Arabidopsis thaliana: one gene and its partners. The protein of the gene in region 3 purifies or fractionates together with the protein of the main gene of each other region. This does not show direct contact. Each region holds a gene or a part of one and is shown on either strand. Other genes may lie near its edges.

Region 1 (4,052 bases), on a different chromosome or scaffold from region 3:
TACAAATTAAAAATATGGAGCAAATAAACTTATAAACAAGGCATACCATCAGGTACAATAAAAATATGATAAAGAAAAAAATAATGGCTTTTGCATGTCTACAATCGTTTCATTATTCTGTGCATCTAATGTCATTACATCGAACAAGGAACCAAGGTTTTGAATCTACAAATGCATCAAAAAAAACCTTTTAAATTTAAAGAGCTACCCATATATTAAAGAGGATGGGAAGACTTTAAAGTCCACCTTCATTGACAAGTCCTTGCTACAACCAGTTGTGAAAAAATCAACTACATGTATACATTCATAAAATAATACTTATTGTGAATCTAGAGGAAGAAAATATGCATACTTACCGTTGACCAGTTTTGTGGCAGGAATACCTGAAATCTTCGGTCCAATCCTCAGTCCAAAAGTTGTTGAGCAAGATACATTTTGCGAGTCTTAAAGAAAATAAGACTCATCATAACAATGCATAACCTAATAAATTTCCTAAACACTTGAACAATGGATAACCAAGTTTACCTTTAAAGTATTCTTCGTATATATGTAGACCTCAGCTTTTCAAACGCCTTTATTAGTTTAACGAGTTCTGCAAGACTAAACGTCTGACAAGAAATTTCAGTTGATGATAAATGAGTAATTAGCAACAGAGATAGGAATGTCATGGAGAATAAAGTCAGAGAAAATCACTGCCGCCAAAGTTCTAATAAGAAACCTATTGTACCCATAAAGAGAAGCAATATCATCTTTAAGCTGGTCAACATAATCAGACATGTGAACGCCTTCTACTATCTATAATTATATCCGACACTCATATTCAAGATTGGTAAAGACACTCATATTCAAGATTGGTAAAGAAGTTGATGTGAGCGTATCTCGTACAATTAAGTTGTATAAGATGCTATTATAATAACCGATTGTGACAAATCTACATTTTTTAATCCGAAATTCACTAAGATTAACAAGTACTAAGTTTAGAGTCTAATATAATAGCATTTTTCATCATAACACATGATACAAATCATACTTGAATATCAACTTGATGTACCCTTTGGTCATCATGTTATATTATAACAAATACAATGCATTTTATGCTTAGGCATCAAAATAAAAAGGCATACTTTAGAATTTATTTTTAGGCTTTTATTTTTTAAGAAAAATATTATAGGTCTTTTTTATAAATTCATTTTGTTAATCTTTATTTTCTCCATATATTGTGGTATTTAAAATTTTAGATTAATAAAAAAATTAATTAAATAATTTGTTAATGAATTTAGTTTAGTAAATTTTTGGTTTTTTTTAAAAAGTTAAACCTTAAATTTCTTGCAAAATGGAAGATATTCTAAGGTGTACATTGCTTAGATTTGGATTACAAAATTTTAAAAAAAAAGTTTGCTTAATTAATCAGATAAATCTGTTGGCTTTGCTGTCAAATGAGATAATTATGGTTAAAAACATAACCTCTCATTAATTGTTAAAGCCAAGCAAGTTTTACCTTTTGCAAAACACCAAAGCGTTGTATGTCAGCTTCTTCGTTAATGGACATTTTGATCGATCCAAATTCTGATATTAGCTGCATAGATAGAAGTTAGCATTTGAGTTAAAACCTGACAATTCAGTTAAAACATGACAGACGAGTTGAATTTTTACTCCAGTTCTAGTTGAAGGCGCATTCACCAACACCATATCCTTTGAGTTTATATGGAAAACCCTAGATAGCTGAACGGGAAGGAATAATAGAAAATTATTTCAGAACTTTTATTACCCTTAATATCATCAATAGTGAGGTTCAAGAAGCTAACCTTTGTATTGATATTGTAATTGGAAACAACTGTATTTGTAATCCCCATTCGATGGAGATTGGCATAAAGTGAACCAAGCAAGTGTTCAGTAGACGCATTAGCAAATATTATACCTTTTATTACCATAAAGCGCCCAGACAGATGTTCAGGAGTTTCCCCAATGGGAAGACTTTCAGGTTCATCTTCAATGACAAGTCCATGCTACAAGCAGTTTTGAAAGAATCAAGTACATGTATGTATGAACAACATAATACTTGTTGTGAATCTAGAGGAAGAAAATTTGCATACTTACCGTTGACCAGTTCTGTAGCAGGCATACGTGAAATCCTCGGTCCAAAAGCTGTTGAGAAAGATATATTCTCCGAGTCTTAAGCAAAAAAACAAAACTCATCATAAAAATGCATAATCTCAAAACTTTACTAAACAATTGAACAATGGATAACCAAATTTACCTTTAGAGTGTTCGTCCATATATATGTCGGCATCGGCTCCTCAAACGCCTTGATTAGTTTAAAGAGTTCTCCAGAGTCATATTCAAAATGCCTTGATTATGCGACGCCTTGATTATCCGACACTCATATTCAAGATTGGTAAAGAACTGAAAGTGAGCTTATCTCGTACAATTAAGTTGTATAAGATGCTATTGTAACAACCGGTTGTGACAAATCTACATTTATAATCCGGAATTCACTAAGATTGTCTTAACAAGTACTAAGTTTAGAGTCTAATATATAATAGCACTTTTCATCATAACACATGATACAAATCATACTTGAAAATCAACTTCATATATCCTTTGGTCATCGTGTTGCATTATAACAAATACAATGCATTTATGTATAATAAATCAAGCCCGACATTCCACACAATCAAGTGAAGTCATGGCTTAGGGCATCAAGGTAAAAAACATATTTTAGAATTCATTTTTTAGGCTTTTTATGTTTTAAAAGAAATATTATGTTTTCTTTACAAATTTATTTTTGTTGAGCTTTCTTTTCACCATACTTTATGGGATTCAAAATTTTAAATTAATTAAAAATTTCTTCAATCTTCTTTGGCTTCACAAAGCGTGTAAATAATAGTATAGCTCATTACCTCTCAACCTCTAATTGTATTCATGGAGATTTTTATTCTTAATCAGGTCGTCAACCACCTTGGTTACAAAAACTACTTTGTAAAATCTCAATTGGTTAATATAATTCAGTTTGCAGAAAAAAAAATTAATTAAAATTTTAATTAAATATATTATTAATGAATTTAGTTTAGTACAATTTTTCCTTTTAAAAAGTTAAACCTTAAATTGTTTGTAAAATGGAAAATATTGTAAGGTACATTGCTTAGTTGAATACAAAATAATAATAAAAACTTTGCTTGATTAATCAGGTAAATGTGTTGACTTTCTTTGTTTGATACCCTCATAACAACACCAAAATACTGGGATGGGCTTTTAATACGAGCCCATGAAGATAACAGTCACTTTTTTGTTTCTGTATGTGTAGAGGGAAAAAAAACACGTTACGTAGTCTCAATTTGGGAGAAAGAAACGACATACATGTTACATCTTTAAACGATAACAAGTCTATTTAGAACCACTAGTTGTGATTTGTGAAACTCTGAAGTAAAGAAGAAACCACAACAATGGCGTTGTTCTCCCCGCCAATCTCTTCTTCATCTCTTCAAAATCCCAATTTCATTCCCAAATTTTCATTCTCCCTCCTCTCCAGTAACCGCTTCTCTCTCCTCTCCGTCACTCGAGCTTCCTCCGACAGTGGATCAACCTCTCCCACCGCCGCCGTCTCCGTGGAGGCTCCTGAGCCCGTGGAAGTGATAGTTAAAGAGCCTCCGCAATCAACACCGGCGGTTAAAAAGGAAGAAACCGCCACCGCTAAAAATGTCGCCGTCGAAGGTGAAGAGATGAAAACAACGGAGAGTGTTGTCAAATTCCAGGATGCGAGATGGATTAATGGAACTTGGGATCTGAAACAGTTCGAGAAAGATGGAAAAACCGATTGGGATTCTGTAATCGTTGCTGGTTAGATTAGAATTAGATCCTCGTTAAGTTTTTTTGCTCTGTTACTTTGGTGAAAATTCGAAATTTGAATTTGATGTTTAATGTGTTTTGATTTGAAGAGGCAAAGAGAAGAAAATGGCTAGAAGAGAATCCAGAAACAACGAGTAACGACGAACCAGTGCTTTTCGATACATCGATTATTCCATGGTGGGCTTGGATTAAGAGATACCACTTAC
Region 2 (6,731 bases), on a different chromosome or scaffold from region 3:
CTATTTTCAATGGTTTATTGAGATTTTGTTATTTATCCATACCATAAGTCCACAAAATTACTTACCATTTTGGTTAGCAAGAAATTAAAATGAACTCATTTGCTTTTAAAAGCTGTATCTTTTGGGTCCTGCAAAGGAATCTCTTTTCTATAATCTTGGATATCCAAATATAAAGTGAATACAGCAATTATACGATGTTATATGTGATGCATGTGAGTTTGTGTATACAAGGCTACAAGCACTAGCAGTTATAATATGGGCTTATAATCTAAAAATAGAAACAAGAAGATTAGTGTGAGAGAAGTAAATGTAAGGTCCCCAACGGAGGAGAATCTGATAAAGATGGATGAAGAAGAGTTGAATTGGATTGTCATGTTTCTCCAACACTCAAGTCCCACTTCAGAAAACCTTCACATCTCTCCCTAACAATGACCAGCTCACTCCCAATTCCCTTATTTTTTCGTCAAATCAATACTATGAGAAATTCTATCCTTATGTGGTGGTATGGACCCAACCCTCCAAGATTTATGTATTTTATTAAATAATTGCTAGGAGCAGAAAAATGAATAGCCTTTCAAACACACTTGTGAGAGAAAGTAGGGACTCGTTTTTGTTTTCAATAAATTTTACAACTCCAATTGAAAACGGAAAATAGAAACAGCCTCTCACAAAAATCAAGTTATGTGATTGATACAAAACTTTTGGACATGTAACAGCTAATCCATGTGGGTGTCACCCTTTCTTTACGCAGTAAATTAATCAAAACTAGAAAGCCATTGTATAGATACCTTGGCCTCAGCCAATGAAGCCTCTTTTCTTGTGTCCTTCGCCATGGCCAGAACACCGAAATATTCTACTCTTCAAGATGCATCACGATCTCAAACCTATTCTTATCCCCTGTGCTTTGGCGTCTCCTTAGCATTCTCTCTCATGGTTTTTCTTTTTTCTTCCCTGCAACATATTCAACCATTTATGGGTAAATGGGTGTATGATACAACAATGTACATAAGAAGGTTTTCTCTTTTGTCTGTCAAGGAAACACTTAGTTTTTTTACCTAGCTTGAGCAATCTCATTCTTCCATTGTGATCTCTTCTTCTTTTGCTTCCTGGGTTCTTCCACATTACCACTTTCGGTTTTTGTGTTTTTATTCCTTTTGCCTTTGTGAATTTCCTTTGACCTTGGATTTTTTCGTTTGTTCGTGTCTTCTTTAGTGTTACTCTCTCTCTTGGGTTGCCCACTGGCAACAGGTGGCTTCTCCAACTCCTCAATGGCCTCAGCTTTCTCATCATCATCATCACTAGACGACACCTGAGCTTGCTCCATTGTTACAGCTGGCTCATCATTTCCTGAAGGCTGCATTGCATTGCTCATCTTCTTCAGCTGCAGAACAAAGAAAGGAAAAAGTAAATACCTCGTTGGTTTAATCACTATTCATATTTTATAAAACATCTGTTTTGCAGGGAAAAGCTATTCATAGGTTAACCAAGTGTATACCTTTGCAACAAAGAATCCATCCATGTTGTGCACGTGAGGATAGAAACGTCTAGTCTTCTCTAAAGAAGGGTGGAACCGGTGTTCTCTAAAACTGCTAAATCTGAAGATATGCAGCAAAACATTTGTGTTCAGATGACGAATCATGAAATTTTTCAATGCAGATGAAAATGTATATTACCCTGGTCGGCCAAAATCAAGTCCACATGGAACGAGTTTAACATCCCTGTTTTTCAGAGCATAATCGATGACAGCTTCGTTCTGCATAATTTGTTGTACAAATAGAACTAGTGAGAAAACATGAAGATGCCAGGAAAAAAAAATAGTGGAACAGAAAAAGTATGGTTCACCAACCTCGGGTATCATAACTGAACATGTTGAGTAAACAATATATCCACCGGTTTTGGAATTGGCGTCTACCAAATCAATCGCACCAAGTATAAGTTGCTATGCGCAAGAAAAGAAGAGAGTATGGTTAGCATTATATACCAAATGCATCCTTCTTTATATACTCACAGTAAGAGGGTATAAACGGCGTTTATGCCATTTTCATGTTTAAATATTTGTCTTGGATGTAAAGAATGTTTTAGTTGATATTGTTTAAGGCAACAACATACCTTTTGCAAATGGGCAAATTTCTTTATGTCATCAGCACTTTTGGAAGTTTTAACTGATTCGTCTTTTGATATAACCTGCATTGTGTAGAAGTGACATTAAACTATGAACAGAGAAATTCACTTAAAAGACTATAAGAGTGTATGGTCCAAACTTTCTTACTCCAGTTCCACTGCAGGGAGCATCCAGCAATACTCTATCAACCGAGCTCTGACCTAAAACTTTGGTTAGCTGAAAGGCAAAGAAGATGAGATAAATAAAAAATGCAAGGGAATAATAGAGAAGCTGTCTTTAAAACTTTGTTATTTGGTGCAATTACAGTCTTGCCAGTAATTTTTCAATTTGGTTGAGCTGATGGTTTACAACCAGTTTGCAATATTTAACATCCTCAAGCATGTACCGTCAACAGAAGAATAAAGGTTCAAGAAACTAACCTCTCGTCCGTCATAGTTACAAACTATGGTATTTGTCACTCCCATGCGATGTAGATTGGCAGAAAGTGACTTAAGCCTAGGTACTTTCATCTCGTTTGCATATATTATGCCTGGTTATATAAACATTATAACATTAGATATAACTGACTAAAATTATGGGGCTGGAGGAATAAGGAACCAATATATGTATACCTGTATTTTTCATTAGTGCAGCAACATATGTTGTTTTACCACCAGGGGCAGCACTGCAGTGGTATAAGAACTTGTTACAGATATCACAATATACTAGTTGCATATGTCTCACATCACGGGACAATCAAATTGGCTTTTCCGTTTTGACAGCACTTATCATCACAACAATCATAACAAATGATACATATCACAAGCTACACTTGAATATCAGATTAAGGTACTGCTTGGTCATCATATATATATATATATATTTATCTGAGACACAAATATAGTGCATTTATGTAAGATAATGACTTACGCCATGTCCACAACTCGTTCTTTTTCTCGAGGAGCAAGGGCCATCACTGGCAAGAACGAACTAGCACTTTGCAACTGAAAATGTACCAAGAACATACTTAAGTAAACAATAAGAAAACCCATAAAGTGTGAGCCGAAAAGTACAAAAAAAATCAGAAAATCAAGTACCATATAGAATCCTGCCAAATATTCAGGAGTTGCACCAATCGGAACTTGTGAATCATAAACGATAAGTCCAACCTACAAATATTATGCCAGGATCAACTAAAGATGGTCCACAAAAATGTTTTCGCAAATAAAATGGAAGACAATCTGCAAATACTACTTACTTTTGACCACTTGCTTAATGGGTCTAGATTAACTCCTCTGTTCAAAAGTATATCAGCCAGATCCCGTCTTCGAGTCTTAACCAAAACAAACATCAGCATTAATTGAAATATCACAACAGCTGAGAAATACTTTGTTTTAGACACTCCAATGCACAACCAAGTTCACCTTAAGAGTGTTAGTACGTATAGATGTAGGTCTTTTCTTTTCAAAAGCTTCGATTAGTTCCATGAGTTCAACAACAGGAAACATCTGCCAGAAGATTACAACTAAAGAGTATAAGTAACAGAATTCCTACACATAACTCTAGATCAAAGCAAGCATAAAGAGTAAAGTCAGAGACTAGGGAATAACCTCAATTAAAGTTCCAATAAGAAACTCATTATAGCCGTAGTAAGAACTAAGATCAGCTTTAAGCTGTCCAACATAATCATTCCTCTCGTGCTTGTCTCCTTTTGGCTTCAAGTCCTTAAAATTCGACAGGATTCTAACAACTGAAACACAAATTAGTACCATTAAACTAAGAACCGAGAGGATGATTCCTTAGGAGATTTAAAACAATCATAATAATAACATTACACCAGAATTCTTAAAAAGGAATAAAATTTGAAAATGTTACTCACTCTCTCTTATCCTCATTTGCAAGCTAGGAAGATCTGGCGGCCGACGTGCCTCTTCTTCAAGTTCCTAAACAATGTAGAGTAATAGAAAAGATTAGCTAACAAATAGCTCCAGAGATCCAGAATATGAACAAATCCACAATTAAGTAAAGGAAAATGTAACCTTTTGGGTTGGTAGCTGAAACTCATCAGGTTTCTCCTTAATGTTCATCTTGAATTCATCGTCTGCATCTTGTACCTCCTTTTTACGTTTTCTATCAATAGCTCTAGATTTCCTCTCGAGTTTGGATCCACCAGAGTCAGAATCCAAATCAGAACCCATGGTTACCTCCTCATTATCGCTACCATCGAGAAAGTCTTCAGCTAAGGGTTCTGCATCCTCATCATCATCATCATCATCATCATCATCATCATCATCATCATCACTATCATTGTTTCCTTCTTCATCACCATCAGAGAACAAATCAGAACCTGATTCAGACCCTTCATCAGACTGTTCATTCTCTTCTTCTTCTTCTTCCTCGTCTGTGGAAACTTCAGGCTTTTTGAGGGGCTTCTTCTCCGAAATACATTTCCTCTGCTTCTTCAATGGAGGCTTCTGGGTTTTAGCCGCCTTCTTCAGCGGAGACGCCTTAGTCTGCTTATTCAGTGGCGGAGTCTGTGAATTGGAACCCTTCTTCTTGTTACGCGTAAGAGCAGCCATGGATACGGTTTTTACAACTTAGGGTTTATCGCCGTGAGGGTTTAGCAGAATTGCAGAGGTAGGAGAAGCAAGGTCGAAGAATCTAGTAAAGATGGAGGATGAGCAAAGTTGCTTAATGGGCTTGATTGATACTAACTAATGGGCCTGACTAATACTAACTAATGGGCTGTAGTCGAACTTATTTTTTGTCAGCCTAATAAATTATCGAGCCACTGAATTCATAAAACCTATAAAAACATAATTCAATAAGTTATTTGATGTATGCGTTTAGGGGTTTCAAAATGGGTAATCCAACTCAACTCTTAATCAAATAAGTTTAGATGTTAAATGAGTTGGGTCAACCCATAACTCATTTAATTTGATGGATTGAATTGTTAAATGGGTTAACCCATTTAAATAATAATTTAATTAATTATTATTATAAAACAATAATAAATAATTAATATTATTAATTCATTATCATCAAACTTAAAATATTTACGGATTCCACTTTTTACGGGTTTACGTTTTTGGCGGAAAAATCACAGGTTTATGTTTTTGGCGAGAAAATTATAGGTTTACGTTTTTGGCAGGAAAATTACGGGTTTATGTTTTTGGTGGGAAAATTACGGGTTTACATTTTTGACAGGAAAATCTCGGGTTTACGTTTTTGGCGGGAAAATCACGGGTTAACGTTTTTGGCGGGAAAATTACGAGTTTACGTTTTTGGCGGGAAAATTACGGATTTACGTTTTTGGCGGGAAAATTATGAGTTTACGTTTTGGCGGGAAAATAACGGATTTACGTTTTTGGCGGGAAAATCACGGGTTTACGTTTTTGGCGGGAAATTACGAGTTTACGTTTTTGGCGGGAAAATTACGGATTTGCGTTTTTGGCTGGAAAATTACGAGTTTACGTTTTTGGCGGGAAAATTATGGATTTACGTTTTTGGCGGGAAAATCACGGGTTTATCTTTTTAGTGAAAAATTACGAGTTTACTTTTTATCAATTTCATCGCTTGTATATTTAAGAAATTTGGAAAAATATTAATTTTATTAAATTGGTTTAAATGTGTTGGTTAAACTTAAATTGGCATTGGTTTAGAAATTTTAGTTGGTTTAATTCAATTTTACAAAACTTGATGGGTTAATTGGGTAAACCATTGAAATCATTAACCATTACAACCCAACTCATTTTACTCATCAAACCAATTGACTCATCAACTCATTTGACCCATTAACTCATTTGAGTCAAAATTTTCAACTCATTAGAGTTCATGGGTTGAATTGAGTTGAGTTAACCCATGAATTTTAACCCATTTTGACATCTCTACCTGCGTTACATGCTCAGCCCATGCATGATTGAAGCTAGTGATGTTGATAACAAAAACTGAAATGAATCACGTAATTTTCTAAAATCAGTTCTAAACGATTCTGTTTCTTCTTTAAGAATGAAAACACGAATTTATTTTTGGTGAATTTTAATTCCAACTACCAAAAATAATTTGATTGATTGGTTGAAATTTCTTGTAAAATTGTGTTAGAATTTGAAATATTATCATTTGCAGGATATATATGTAGTTTGGCTGTCAAAAAAAAATGTATTATGTTTTTGGTGAAGTTGCAAGTTATTTATAACACATAGAACCTAGTCATAGACGTTGACATGAAACAGATTGAATAAGACAGTGTGTGTCTTAGAAACAGAAACTTGAATAAAAGTGGAAATATGCGTTTCATATTGTATAACCGATAGATTATGGAAACAATGATGCATATTGGCAATCAAAACAAAAACAACGATACATACAATTGCGACCACAAGCAAGACCGAAAGACACACCTGTGACGCGCGTCCAACGCACAAAGAGTCCGAGTCAAATTCGGAGTCTATTAAGCGGTGCACCAGCAAGTATACACGTACGAACCAATTACATGCATAATGCATTAAGACTGTCACTATCGCTAAAAATTTTGTTTTTAGCTGCTGCAAGTGATCGCCAATTAAATTGCAACTCTTACCTCACAAAATTGTCTCTTGCTAGTTCAATTATTTCCTTTTTATTATCAACA
Region 3 (4,927 bases):
ATCATCGTCTTGAATAACCCATCGAGACTCGATAGAATCCATGGATGCCATATCTCCAAAACCACCACCTGAGCTATCGATCTCTTCTTTTTCAGAACCTTCCATACTGCTTTCCTCCGCCATTTTCAGAACTCTTAGATTGCAATCAAAGCTAAAGTAACCTCCGAAAGTTTCGCAGGGTCGATCAAACGAGAAGAATCGTAGAACTAGAGTTTCGCATCCGATCAAAAGTTCTCAGGAGCAAATAAAGATTTTTCGACGAGAAGTCTTGTTTCTTCACTGCCGATTCATGCCGATGTTCTCAATCTCTGCTTTACCAGTTCGCTGCTGAACCGGTCTGATACAAACGTGACATGTTCTGTACCGGAAGTCTGAACCGGTTAGATTGTGTTATTGGTCAACGTTTGGTTTGAGACTTTCTTGCTTCATACTGTGAGAGTGTGTGAGGATTACGATAACCTCTCAGGCTCTGTTTCATAATTTCGTTTTCTTTCTTCACAGCTAATTTTGTTCATACAATTATAAGATTGTCCAAATTTACTTTCATCTCTATAATTTCTCATAAATCAATGAGAAAACCAATAAATCCAAATATATTTATATAAACTCATGTATGATGTGCTTACTTTCAAACTAAAAACAACAAGGGAAATATTTCAAGACCCTGTGTTAGTCAAAAGTACAGACAAACGAAAATTAAACTTCTTCAGTAGCAACTTCAGAAACCACCTCTTTATATTCCTTAGTCTCTTCATCGTACCTGTACCTGCACGCATATTTTGTAATCAAACACATAACCAGAATTGAGCTGATAATCGAAATTATGAACACATGAATAAAGAGATTAGTAATGGGTTTTCAAAATTCTAAACTCATCCCAAGTAAATTTTACCATTTTCCGGTTGTTGCGTAGCAGTAAAGTCCAGTGTTCGGGTCATAATAGTAACCAAGGCTGCTGCTGTAGTAGTACCTGCAAAACCATTTATAGAATACTTTTAGATAAATAAAATTGAGATTCATAATGAATATTGCTAGCAACACAATACTTCGGACAAAAAGCTGACTTATGCAACAAGAGAGCGCGAGAGGAGAGTATATACAAACATACCCTGAAGATTCATCAAACACATAATCAGAATTAAGCTGAGTGCCCGAGATGGAGCTAGACGGTTGTAGATCAGAGGAAGGTTCAGGAGCATTCTCATCATCGCCAAACATATCACAAGATACTATATTGGCAGTCCCATTTTCTTTCGCTTGAGCTAGTCTCTCATATCCTTCTAAAAGACCAACATAGAGAAGAAGAATGTGAAAAGTCAAGCCAATTGTTCCCGAATGTTGTGAAAAGGTGATATCACAAAGCAGAGGAAACGTAGCTACATCTACAGCTGATATTGAAAAAGTATTAGAATCTCTAACCTGCTTCACGTTGGAAAACTTCTTGCTCCTCATGATAAACATCTTCAATACATAAAAAGAGGAACACATATATTAACAAATGGAGGACATCATATTTGTTGTTGAAGTAGCATAAGTTATTAGAGACTTACTGTAGTCGCCGTTCTCGATAAGCTTGTCCGCATCCTCAGTAAGCTGATCAAAGATAAGCTTGGTCTCAGATGTCATCTTCTCCTTGCGATTATTCGAATTCCCTTTCAACCTCCTTAAAGCTCGCAAGACCTGTAACATGAAACCGATTTATTTTACGTGTTCGAAGTATGTATAATCAACAATGCTATATTAAGGTGACATTTTTAACTAATACAATCCATGTTTCATGTTTGAAACAAAAACTTGTTAAAACGCAGAATGAGTCTCACCGTTTCTCCTGGTTCAAGGACATTAGCAATGCGCCTCTTTCTAACTCCGATTTCATCTTGAGAAAGGTCATCCCCTGCTTTTTCGTTCCCACTATCATCATCCATCTCAGTATCATTTGCAGCAGATCGTCCCATATACATTGGATTTTTTTCAATACTGTCAAGCCATGCATCCTGAAAGAAAACACATATAATGAAAGACAATACACAAGATATCTTGGAGCTAAGCTTTACAATGAAAGATGTGTACCTTGACTTCCTTTTCTCTAACATATTCTACAAAGTTCCCATCAGCATCAAAGTAACCTTCTTCTTTCTCTCTGTCCAGACTAAAAGCTTCAATCTGGATCCCATCTTCTGTGCGATTGCCATCATCCTACAATGAAATAAATCACATCAGCATAACTCTTTTTGCAAACAAACATCATTGAGATCTCGCAATATACACAATTAGCTTCCAGGAACAGTCAACAAACAAAAAGAGGATAGTAGAAATCCTACCTCATAAGTCTCCTGAGCCTGATTAATATCATCACTGTCATCTTCGATAAAGAGCTTAGTAGTATTCTGATTGCGAATCTTTGCACGCTCCTTAGCAGCATCACGGGCTTTGCGGCGGGCTAAAGCTTCTTCCTCTAAGAGCTGTTCAGGTTTCGACTTCTTCCCCTTTGGAAACCGTACTCGCTTTTCGCTGCCAGAGAGAATCCTCCATTAGAATCCACATTATAGCGTATGCACACAAACTCAAGTTGTAACTGAGACAAATTTCAAAGCTGATTAATACTCCAAGTTCAAGACAATCATATGTTTGGCATTCAATTTCAGGTTCAATGTCTAAGTCTAACAAAATTGAGGAGAAGAGAGAATCAGATGGAAGAAACAAGAGCTACTAATTCAATTTTTCCTACCCTAAAACTGAGTCAATCAACCGGAAACGAAAAGAAGAAACACGTATCGTCATGCTTAGCAGAACAAAATTGGAAATTAGGGTTTTCGGAAAAGATTGTAAACTTACGGAGGTTGTTTATCGGAATCTTCATCTTCTAAGAAGGATCGTTTAAGGTTCCTCCTCGACGAACTATCTGCCATTGCACAAGCGTTAGACGAGAACAACGACGATTTGTTTATTTCCAGGCGGTGAGAATCGCCGTCGAGGGGAAATAAGACGAAAGCATGAATTCTCGCCGACGTTTACAAATTGGGCCGTATTAATGGGCTGAAAAATGGGCCTTAAAAAGCGCGCTTAACGTTTGGAATTACTATGTCTGTTTCCTTTAATTTACCGGTTTACTTTTTTACCATGGTTAGACTAAAACGCCGCCGTTTTGGCACAGGCCCTAATTTATGGGTTCTCTCCTTAATTGGTGATCATCCTCCTTCTCAAGCTGTTGGCCGTCATTGAACTTGGAGTCACAGGTCAGCTTCTGATTCTTAATTCTGTGAATTTTTCGTTTCAAAATATTAACCGAATACTTGAATAATCGTAACTAAATATTCTTCTGGGGTTCTTTTTATTTAGTCGAAGTGTTTGAATTCAATTGCAATGGAGCAGAAACCACCAGTACGGAAGGTTTGTGTTTGCTATCATCGTTAACTTCTCATGTTAGATAAAATATTTGGCTCTGCTAAATTTTCGATTTTGCGTTCTTCTGCAGATGAAGTTTGCCCCAAAAGCTCCACCCAAACGTGTGCCAAAACCTGAAGTTAAACCGTAAGCAACACTAATGACTGATCTGATTAACATAAACAGATGTTTTTCTTCTGAAACTTTTGAATTATGAATGCAGTGAAGTGGTTGAGGATAATAGTAACAGTGCACAAGCATCGGAATTGCTACGCAGAGTTAATGTAAGCTTTTTTTTTTTAATCGTTGAGTGAAATTGTCTTTGCTCTTGTGTCTTCTTACTTACTCAGTTCTCTTTAATTTTGATTTTTGTTTGCCTTAGGAAAGATCATTGCGCAAGCCAAAAGCGGACAAGAAAGGTAGTGTCTTTAACTTGAAACTCAGACTCGTATCTTTACTCTGTTTGCTGCTACGTTATCTAGTTGTAAAAAAAAACATCACTTTGATACATCACTGATTTAGTTTTTGTTATGTATCATACAGTTCCTGCTTCTCAAGTTGCTTGGTTGGGGGGAGTGGTGAATTCAACCAGATCAAATAAGTACCTCAATAGATCAAGTAACAATTTCTTTTCTTTGTTTAAAACATAGGCAATTATATATTTTAACAAAAAAAAACATAGGCAATTGTATTCACAACACATCACAAGTTTTTGATAATTCTGCGGGGGTGTTGATACATGCTGGTTGTTGTGCAGATGGTGCTTATGGATCAACCTCTACTCAGGAGATAGAGTATAAAGAACCATGGGTCGGTATAACAGTACCCTGTCCCTAAAGTTATATCTCGAACTCATATATCGATAATGTTGATGCATAATTAATTCTTGGATTGTCTCACAGGATTACTACAGCTATTACCCTATCACACTTCCAATGAGGAGACCGTATGCAGGAGATCCAGGTATTCATATATTTGCTTGAGAAGAAAAATAAAACAATTTTGTGAAAGCAGATTCTTGATTACCATTTGCCTATGTTTAAGATGCTGCTCATTATTGCAGAGGTTCTTGACGTGGAGGAGTTTATGCAGGCTGGAGGACATCATGAAGATTCACTTAACACAGCCGCTAATCTCGGTCTAATGGTTAGTGACATTACATATAAAAATTCGATAAACCAAAACTCACACGCAAACTCTATAGTTACATAATGTGGATCACTTGTTGGCAGGAGGATAGTGGAGAACAGAAAATGTTTTTTATGAGGCTACCTTCTGTTCCTTTGGCATCAACACCAACAGAAAACCTTGAAACAAGGCCAAATATCAAAGGCCCCGTTGAGAAGAAGACTGTTGATTTAAAAGCCTTGCCAGAAGGTTACATGGGCAAACTGTTAGTCTACAAAAGTGGTGCTGTCAAGATGAAACTTGGGGAAGTGCTTTATGATGTGAGTGATTCTTTTTCCGTTTACTAAGTATTCTATGACCATAGATCCTGCAATATGGTTTTTACCGGGCATAATACTAGCTAATATCTAGTAGG
Region 4 (6,602 bases), about 20 Mb from region 3:
AAGAAAAAGGAAGAGTTAAGGATAAATAATCAAATTAAAATTGAGAGGTCCCCAAACAAGATCTGACAAAGATAGATGAAGAATGGGTTGTCATGTTCTCCAACACAAGTCCCACTTTGGTGTGAGAGTTTCTCAATCTCTCTCTCTAACTTCTTACAACCAATCAACAGCTCACTGCCAAATCCCTAATTTTTTTTAAAAAACAGTTCTCTGAAAAATAAGAAAAACTAAACTGAAACAATTCTGAGCCTTTCAATTTCATATATTTTGTTTGGTTTCATACAATTATGGTTTGATATAGTTTGGTTTGAGTCAATTCCAACATATGAAGTGATGAATTAACAAATTAATTAAAAAGTTGATAATTAATCATTTGAACTTAAAATTAACAAAATTTAGTATATTCATTTCGGTTTGTTCCAACTACATTTAGGTTAAAAAATGTTGGGTTTTTCGAAATAAAAAATATTTAGGTTAGTAGTTATAGTTTTTTTTTTGGCCACCCCTAGTTTGGTTCTTGAGTAAAAATAACAGCAATTTAGTGATCGGCTCAAGAACACAACTTAACTTTGATTCTCTTAAAAGATTTTTTTCTGAAACAAAACTTTTGGACATTTAAGGTGGTCTGCCCACGGAGTCCAACAGAGTGCTCACTCTGGGTGCTTTTAACGTTGCACAAATCTCGTCGTGAATAAACAAAAACAAGAAAGCCAATATATGGCACAAGCCTACTATAACCATAGATGATAACGTTTTCGCAAATGTTTTTTCTTCTCTTTGATGAAAAAACACTGAATCATCATTACTTCTCCTCCTTCGCCTTCTCCCGCATGGCTATTCTTTTCTCTTCCCTGCAAACGTGATTATACAAATCATTGTCAAGCAACTATATATAAAAGACAAGTCTAAAGCATTTTGTTCTCTCAGTTCATGGATGGGGATAGATATTTATATACCTAGCTTGAGCTATTTCGTTCTTCCATTCCCGTCTCTTCTTCTTTTGCTTCCTTGGTTTAGATGGCTCTTCCACATTTTCAGATTTTGATTTCTTATCCTTTTTACCTCTCTTGTCCTCCTTTGATTTTGCAAGTTTTTCCTTGTTCTTTTTTTCTTTTCTTTCCTTAGGTTGCCTAACGGGAACAGAAGGCTTCTCCGTCTCTTCAATGGCCTCAGCTTCATCATCATCATCACTAGACACTTCAGCTTGCTCTACAGTTTCTACCGCATCATCATCACCTTCTTCTGAAGATTGCTTCACGTTGCTCATTTTCTTCAGCTGTATAAAGAAAAAGAACACAAGAGCATTACATCAAATTGTGTGGATTATATCAACTATTAGAGTATTGACAAGTGCATGGTTGATCGATTACAATGGCCAAAAGTGAGTACCTTTGCCACAAAAAATCCGTCCATGTTGTGTACATGAGGATAGAAACGTCTAGTCTTGTCCAAAGATGGCTGAAACCGGTGTTCTCTAAATCTGGTAAATCTGATGAAGAGAAGAAGGACAAAGAGTTAGAGACATTATTTAATGTTCCTTTAAATATCCCTCAGATGAAAAACTTGTGCATTACCCTTTTCTGCCAAAATCGAGACCACACGTAACGAGTTTAACATCCCTCTTTTTGAGGGCATAGTCAATGACGGCTTCATTCTGCACAATTTTTTCATACATAAAGAAAAATTAGGATGAATCAAATACAAAGAAGAAAATTATGGGGGAAATTATCAGTTAACTAACCTCAGTAACCATAATTGAACATGTTGAATAAACTATATATCCACCGGTTTTGGAATTGGCATCCACCATATCAATAGCAGCGAGTAGAAGTTGCTTCATGAACAAAAAAGGGTTAACTTAGCATGTGTTTAAGAATGAAAATTGGTCTGTTCAGATATAATAGAAGTTATTTAAGAAGGTACTGCCATACCTTTTGCAAGTGAGCAAATTTCTTTATCTCATCCATGGTTTTCGTTATTTTAACTGATTCATCTTTTGATATAATCTGTATTGGGTAGCAGAGGAGATTTAGTAACAAGGATCTAAAACTTAACTACAGTTTAACAGAGAGTAAGTTCGAAGTTCCTTACTCCAGTCCCACTGCAAGGCGCATCCAACAATACTCTATCAACCGTGTTCTGACCTAAAACCTTGGGTAGCTGACAGCAGCAAAGATAACGAAATAAAGAATAAGTGCAAGAAAATAAAACTGGGCAGCATGTTGAGCAAAATTAACCAGATCAAATTTTATAATTCCAGTCATTTCAGTAGTGTGAATTCAAGTAGATGTTACGGGGTTTTTAACATTTTGTGAACAGGTAGCAGAAATTCAACAGAAAAATCAATGTTCAAGAAGCTAACCTCTCTTCCATCATAGTTACAAACTATGGTATTTGTGACCCCCATACGATGCAGATTGGCAGTTAGCGACTTAAGCCTAGGTACTTTCATCTCATTCGCATATATTAAGCCTGGTAATAGCATCATTATAAACATTACTTAAACCAAAAAAAAAAAACATACGACAGCCAAATAGAATATGGGGATAAGAAGCAAGAGAAACCAATGAAGACATACCCGTATTTTTCATTAGAGCGGCGATATAAGTTGTTTTACCACCAGGAGCAGCACTGCATCGATATAAAATCTTGTTATAAACTCACACAACAAAACAGTCAAACACTAGAATTGGAATCATCACACGCCAACAAGGTCAAACGCTTTTTAGCTGCAGCGATTGTTTAGTAGATGAGTAGATGATGATAACTTACGCTACATCCACAATCCGCTCATTCTCTCGAGGGGCAAGGGCCATCACTGGCAAAAACGAACTAGCACCTTGAAGCTGCAAATACACCAAGTAGAGAGACTTAAGCAAACAATTGCATTCCATAAAGGTGAAGAAAAGGGAAAGACATCAGAAGATCACTTACCATGTAGTACCCAGCCAGATATTCAGGAGTTGCACCAATTGGGACTTGTGAATCATAAATAACAAGTCCAACCTGCAGTAGGACATCAGTAAATAAGACTTAGGACAGATCAACAATAGAAGATTCATAAAAATAGGACTGACAGAATAGAAAATAGTAAGAACAAACTACTTACTTTAGACCACTTGCTTAATGGGTCTAGATTGACTCCTCTGTTCAAAAGTACATCAGCAAGATCCCGTCTTCGAGTCTAAAGCAAAACATACATCACCATGAAATTGCAGAACTTGAAAGTCATAAGCTACAACCCAGTAAGTCACAACCAAGTTCACCTTAAGTGTGTTAGTTCGGATGGACGTAGGCCTTTGCTTTTCAAAAGCTTCAATAAGTTCCATAAGTTCACCAGGAGGAAACATCTGCAAGAGAAATCCCAATTCAACATCCATAAGTAAAGAATATCAGCAACATCCTATCCATACTATATCAAAGGAAAGAAACTAGAGAGTCTCACCTCAACCAAAGTTCCAATAAGAAAACTGTTATAACCATAATAAGAACCGAGATCAGCTTTGAGCTGTTCAACACAAGCTTTCCTCGTGGTGTCTTTTGGCCTGAAAGCCTTAAAATTTTTAAGAGCTCTAACAACTGAAATGTTAAATGAATCAACAATTAGAACACCAATCCAAACCAACCTAGATAAATACCATCACACCAACATTTCAACAGTAATAAAGCAACAAAATTTGGAAATGTTACTAACTCTCTTCAATTCTAGTCTTAAGTAGAGGAAGATCTGGTGGACCACGAGCTTCTTCTTCAAGCTCCTGGACAAATGAAAGATAACAACAACAGTTAGATATATGCTAAAACCAAAATCAAACAGAGTAAGTATTACACATGAAAAAAATGTTACCTCTTCAGTTGGTAGCCTAAACGCATCATGTTCAGGTTCTTCATCATGTACATCATCTTGCTTGATAAAATCCTCCAGTTCAGCAGCAGCATCTTTCTTCTGCATTGCTAAGTCTCTATCAATAGCATCAGATTTCGCCACAATATCGTCGTCGTCAGAGTCAGCATCCGAATCCGCATCTAAAGATCCTTCCTCATCTTCATCGCCGCTACCTTCTAGAAAATCGTCACCCAAAGTCTCTTCATCGTTCTCTTCCTCATCATCAGAGAATAACTGATTAGACCCGTTCTCTCCATCATCAGATTCATCAATCTCTTCTGATTCCACAGCTGGAGAAATATCATCTTCATCAGAACCATCGGAAACTTCGTCATCTTCATCAGAATCATCGGTAACTTCGTAATCTTCTAGAGGCTCTTCCTCCACAACTTCCTTCTTCTGCTTCTTCAATGGAGGTTTGTTCTGAGATTTCGCTCCTTTCTTCAACATTGAAGTTTGGGGTTTCATTGGAGGGGTTTTGGATTTGGTAAGCTGCTTCGTTGGAGGGGTTATCGATTTCGTCGCAGCCTTCTTCTTGTTACGAGTGAGGGCAGGCATGGCTACAGGTTTGAATTAGGGTTTTCTCGCGCGGCCAGGGTTTAAGAGAAGAAGTAGAAGATGATGATTGTTGGAGTACACAAAGGTATATTTGACTGGTGTCTATTATTGGGCTTTTGCCTAAATAATTATCGGCCCAATTTAAAACAAATTGAGCCCAATAACTATATGGTGCCTTGTTATTGATTATTCGATATGTTTATTCATACGCACACAACTTTCAAACTAGTGTGAACACGCAATATACTTTAAAATTTTGTTCCACAACCAAAAACAAATATGTCTCGATCAATAAACAAGACAACGAAACGGTGTCAACTTCGACACGAATCGAAACAACACGATCATCGATCTTGTTGGTACAAGCGTGCTCTTGAACTTGTGAAATAAAAACAACCAAATTTTTGTTTTTCCAAAACAAACAAAAACATTTGGAACAAAACATTAACACGGTTAAAATTCTCTCTACAAAAAAAACTTGTAAACTTTCACAAACTCTTGTTTTTCTACTTTTAGTTCTCTTTTATCTTTAGCGTTGTGACAAAATGTAGTTCCGAGATTTGAGGCATTAATTAAGAAGTTGAAAAGCATATTGGCGAAGTTGACAAAGATGGTTGACCACGTTTTTCCACTAATAGTAGAATAATTGGTTGGGTGGAAATTGGATTTTCAGTGGTCCAATTCTCAAACTTGTTCATCGTCTTTTTCTAACAAGTTGATGCTAGCTATTGTCATCTTTTCTTTTGGGACCGAGAGAGAAAGAAAACTAAAAAATCTTGAGAACTTGCTCATAATCTGTTAATGGTTTTGTCAATTTCGCTCCCATCAGTCAACGGAAGTTATAATCAATTTGTCAAAATCTCTATGACACGAAAGCACCTTATCTTGTACTAGCATTGTGTGAAATGGGTCGAGAATATATATTGTCATTATTCATTAGTCTTCTGTCTTGTGCGTACAAACTGAGTTGATATCGGCTCTATCTAATCACTAAGCAATCATAATAGATCAGTAACGTATCTAATGATTCTGAGGATAAACTAGTTGCTAAATTAGATTATTACTATTATCAGTTTTATGTATATTTACCAATAAAAAGATTCACTGTTTTATGTAAAAATAATCTTACGAGAACGAGTTAACGTTTAACCCATTCGTTGAATACATGCGTGCATGTAGAACACTCAAACTAAAAATTGGTTATGTCATATGTGTCTTGACCGATGAGATATATACGACTATATAGGGGGATTGGACTACAATCATTTAAGTTGATTTCTTTTCTATTATATATAGTGACACATTACATGTGACGATATGATGTATATAATAAAGATATTTATTTGTCCGCAAACGCATGATATCAAATGTAATATACATATCAATAACGCGTTTATATTAATCTCTAATACGTACAACATATTACAATCTCTACAAATATCGACATGCTTAAAACCAATAACGCGTTCAGTAGAACAATTTAATGCACGTTCACCAACCATTTTAACATCTTATGTTATTTACACTCGCGTAGTTCATAACATTTGGTTATTACTTATTAGTATATGGACCGGCCCTGCCGATTCAGACCTAATGCGACGATGTTTGAGACATCTTAACAATATGACTATGCTATGATGTTTGATCACCACCTCTATTATATAATGTAGCAAGATGATCAATTATTTGAATACAGTTTTAATTTGTTTGAGGACATACCTAAAATGCTCATATTTTTCTCATTGAAATTACCTTTGAGTCGGTGTTATTCATAAAAAAAGAAGACCATTTATTAGCTACATCATTTTCACATGACGGCTAGAAAAGTCTCATTCAAGAATCTGGTTGTGAAAAGCTAATAAATATATTAGGCCTATCGAGCCAAAAGTTGTTACACATGATTTCAAACATCAAATAAGTCATCGGAGTCAATATTAAAAAGTTCTACGTACATTAAATTCATAAGTTTTGGCAGTTAGAGACATGTCAAGTTGACAAGTTTCATCAGAACATGATCTTTTAGTCTTAGAGATAATTATGTAATTAATATGGCAATAGAGCTAGCTGGCAATAGATCTTAATTATCTAATTAAAGATGAATCACAGTCAAAATCGTTAGAGCTGGCAATAGAAACGTAAAAATGAACCTAGACGACAG

What was found.
Region 1: the proteins of AT5G09390 (region 3) and AT4G17590 fractionate together in Arabidopsis thaliana (co-fractionation; one large-scale study listed by BioGRID). This does not show direct contact.
Region 2: the proteins of AT5G09390 (region 3) and AT4G26600 fractionate together in Arabidopsis thaliana (co-fractionation; one large-scale study listed by BioGRID). This does not show direct contact.
Region 4: the proteins of AT5G09390 (region 3) and OLI2 fractionate together in Arabidopsis thaliana (co-fractionation; one large-scale study listed by BioGRID). This does not show direct contact.

The regions. Positions count from the first base shown.
Region 1 is NC_003075.7:9,800,316-9,804,367, forward strand, and holds AT4G17590 (NOL1/NOP2/sun family protein), read right to left. Parts: upstream 2,277-4,052; coding exon 2,258-2,276; intron 2,173-2,257; coding exon 2,098-2,172; intron 1,988-2,097; coding exon 1,806-1,987; intron 1,723-1,805; coding exon 1,654-1,722; intron 1,577-1,653; coding exon 1,499-1,576; intron 796-1,498; coding exon 694-795; intron 609-693; coding exon 528-608; downstream 1-527. Other genes in the region: LIL3:1 (Chlorophyll A-B binding family protein), read left to right, coding at 3,444-3,837, 3,936-4,052.
Region 2 is NC_003075.7:13,417,578-13,424,308, reverse strand, and holds AT4G26600 (S-adenosyl-L-methionine-dependent methyltransferases superfamily protein), read right to left. Parts: upstream 4,749-6,731; 5' UTR 4,681-4,748; coding exon 4,141-4,680; intron 4,045-4,140; coding exon 3,981-4,044; intron 3,852-3,980; coding exon 3,712-3,851; intron 3,610-3,711; coding exon 3,526-3,609; intron 3,435-3,525; coding exon 3,360-3,434; intron 3,271-3,359; coding exon 3,199-3,270; intron 3,106-3,198; coding exon 3,032-3,105; intron 2,787-3,031; coding exon 2,734-2,786; intron 2,652-2,733; coding exon 2,542-2,651; intron 2,339-2,541; coding exon 2,270-2,338; intron 2,185-2,269; coding exon 2,110-2,184; intron 1,940-2,109; coding exon 1,674-1,939; coding exon of another isoform or gene 1,670-1,673; exon of another isoform or gene 1,596-1,669; coding exon 1,496-1,595; coding exon of another isoform or gene 1,469-1,495; exon of another isoform or gene 1,382-1,468; coding exon 1,056-1,381; coding exon of another isoform or gene 1,052-1,055; exon of another isoform or gene 952-1,051; coding exon 891-951; 3' UTR 518-890; downstream 1-517. UniProt on the Arabidopsis thaliana protein: Involved in ribosomal large subunit assembly. S-adenosyl-L-methionine-dependent methyltransferase that probably methylates the C(5) position of cytosine 1586 (m5C1586) in mitochondrial 26S rRNA.
Region 3 is NC_003076.8:2,911,573-2,916,499, reverse strand, and holds AT5G09390 (CD2-binding protein-like protein), read right to left. Parts: upstream 3,019-4,927; 5' UTR 2,910-3,018; coding exon 2,836-2,909; intron 2,512-2,835; coding exon 2,322-2,511; intron 2,197-2,321; coding exon 2,071-2,196; intron 1,995-2,070; coding exon 1,821-1,994; intron 1,681-1,820; coding exon 1,551-1,680; intron 1,462-1,550; coding exon 1,420-1,461; intron 1,281-1,419; coding exon 1,109-1,280; intron 971-1,108; coding exon 893-970; intron 767-892; coding exon 697-766; 3' UTR 521-696; downstream 1-520. Other genes in the region: KUP7 (K+ uptake permease 7), read right to left, coding at 1-123; AT5G09380 (RNA polymerase III RPC4), read left to right, coding at 3,364-3,390, 3,476-3,531, 3,608-3,668, 3,767-3,803, 3,928-4,002, 4,142-4,194, 4,287-4,347, 4,448-4,530 and 1 more.
Region 4 is NC_003076.8:22,644,940-22,651,541, forward strand, and holds OLI2 (S-adenosyl-L-methionine-dependent methyltransferases superfamily protein), read right to left. Parts: upstream 4,579-6,602; 5' UTR 4,445-4,578; coding exon 3,848-4,444; intron 3,759-3,847; coding exon 3,695-3,758; intron 3,580-3,694; coding exon 3,446-3,579; intron 3,351-3,445; coding exon 3,267-3,350; intron 3,185-3,266; coding exon 3,110-3,184; intron 3,007-3,109; coding exon 2,935-3,006; intron 2,847-2,934; coding exon 2,773-2,846; intron 2,632-2,772; coding exon 2,579-2,631; intron 2,473-2,578; coding exon 2,363-2,472; intron 2,161-2,362; coding exon 2,092-2,160; intron 2,007-2,091; coding exon 1,932-2,006; intron 1,835-1,931; coding exon 1,742-1,834; intron 1,655-1,741; coding exon 1,575-1,654; intron 1,490-1,574; coding exon 1,390-1,489; intron 1,277-1,389; coding exon 957-1,276; intron 852-956; coding exon 803-851; 3' UTR 509-802; downstream 1-508. UniProt on the Arabidopsis thaliana protein: Involved in ribosomal large subunit assembly, required for normal progression of rRNA processing. S-adenosyl-L-methionine-dependent methyltransferase that probably methylates the C(5) position of cytosine 2268 (m5C2268) in nuclear 25S rRNA.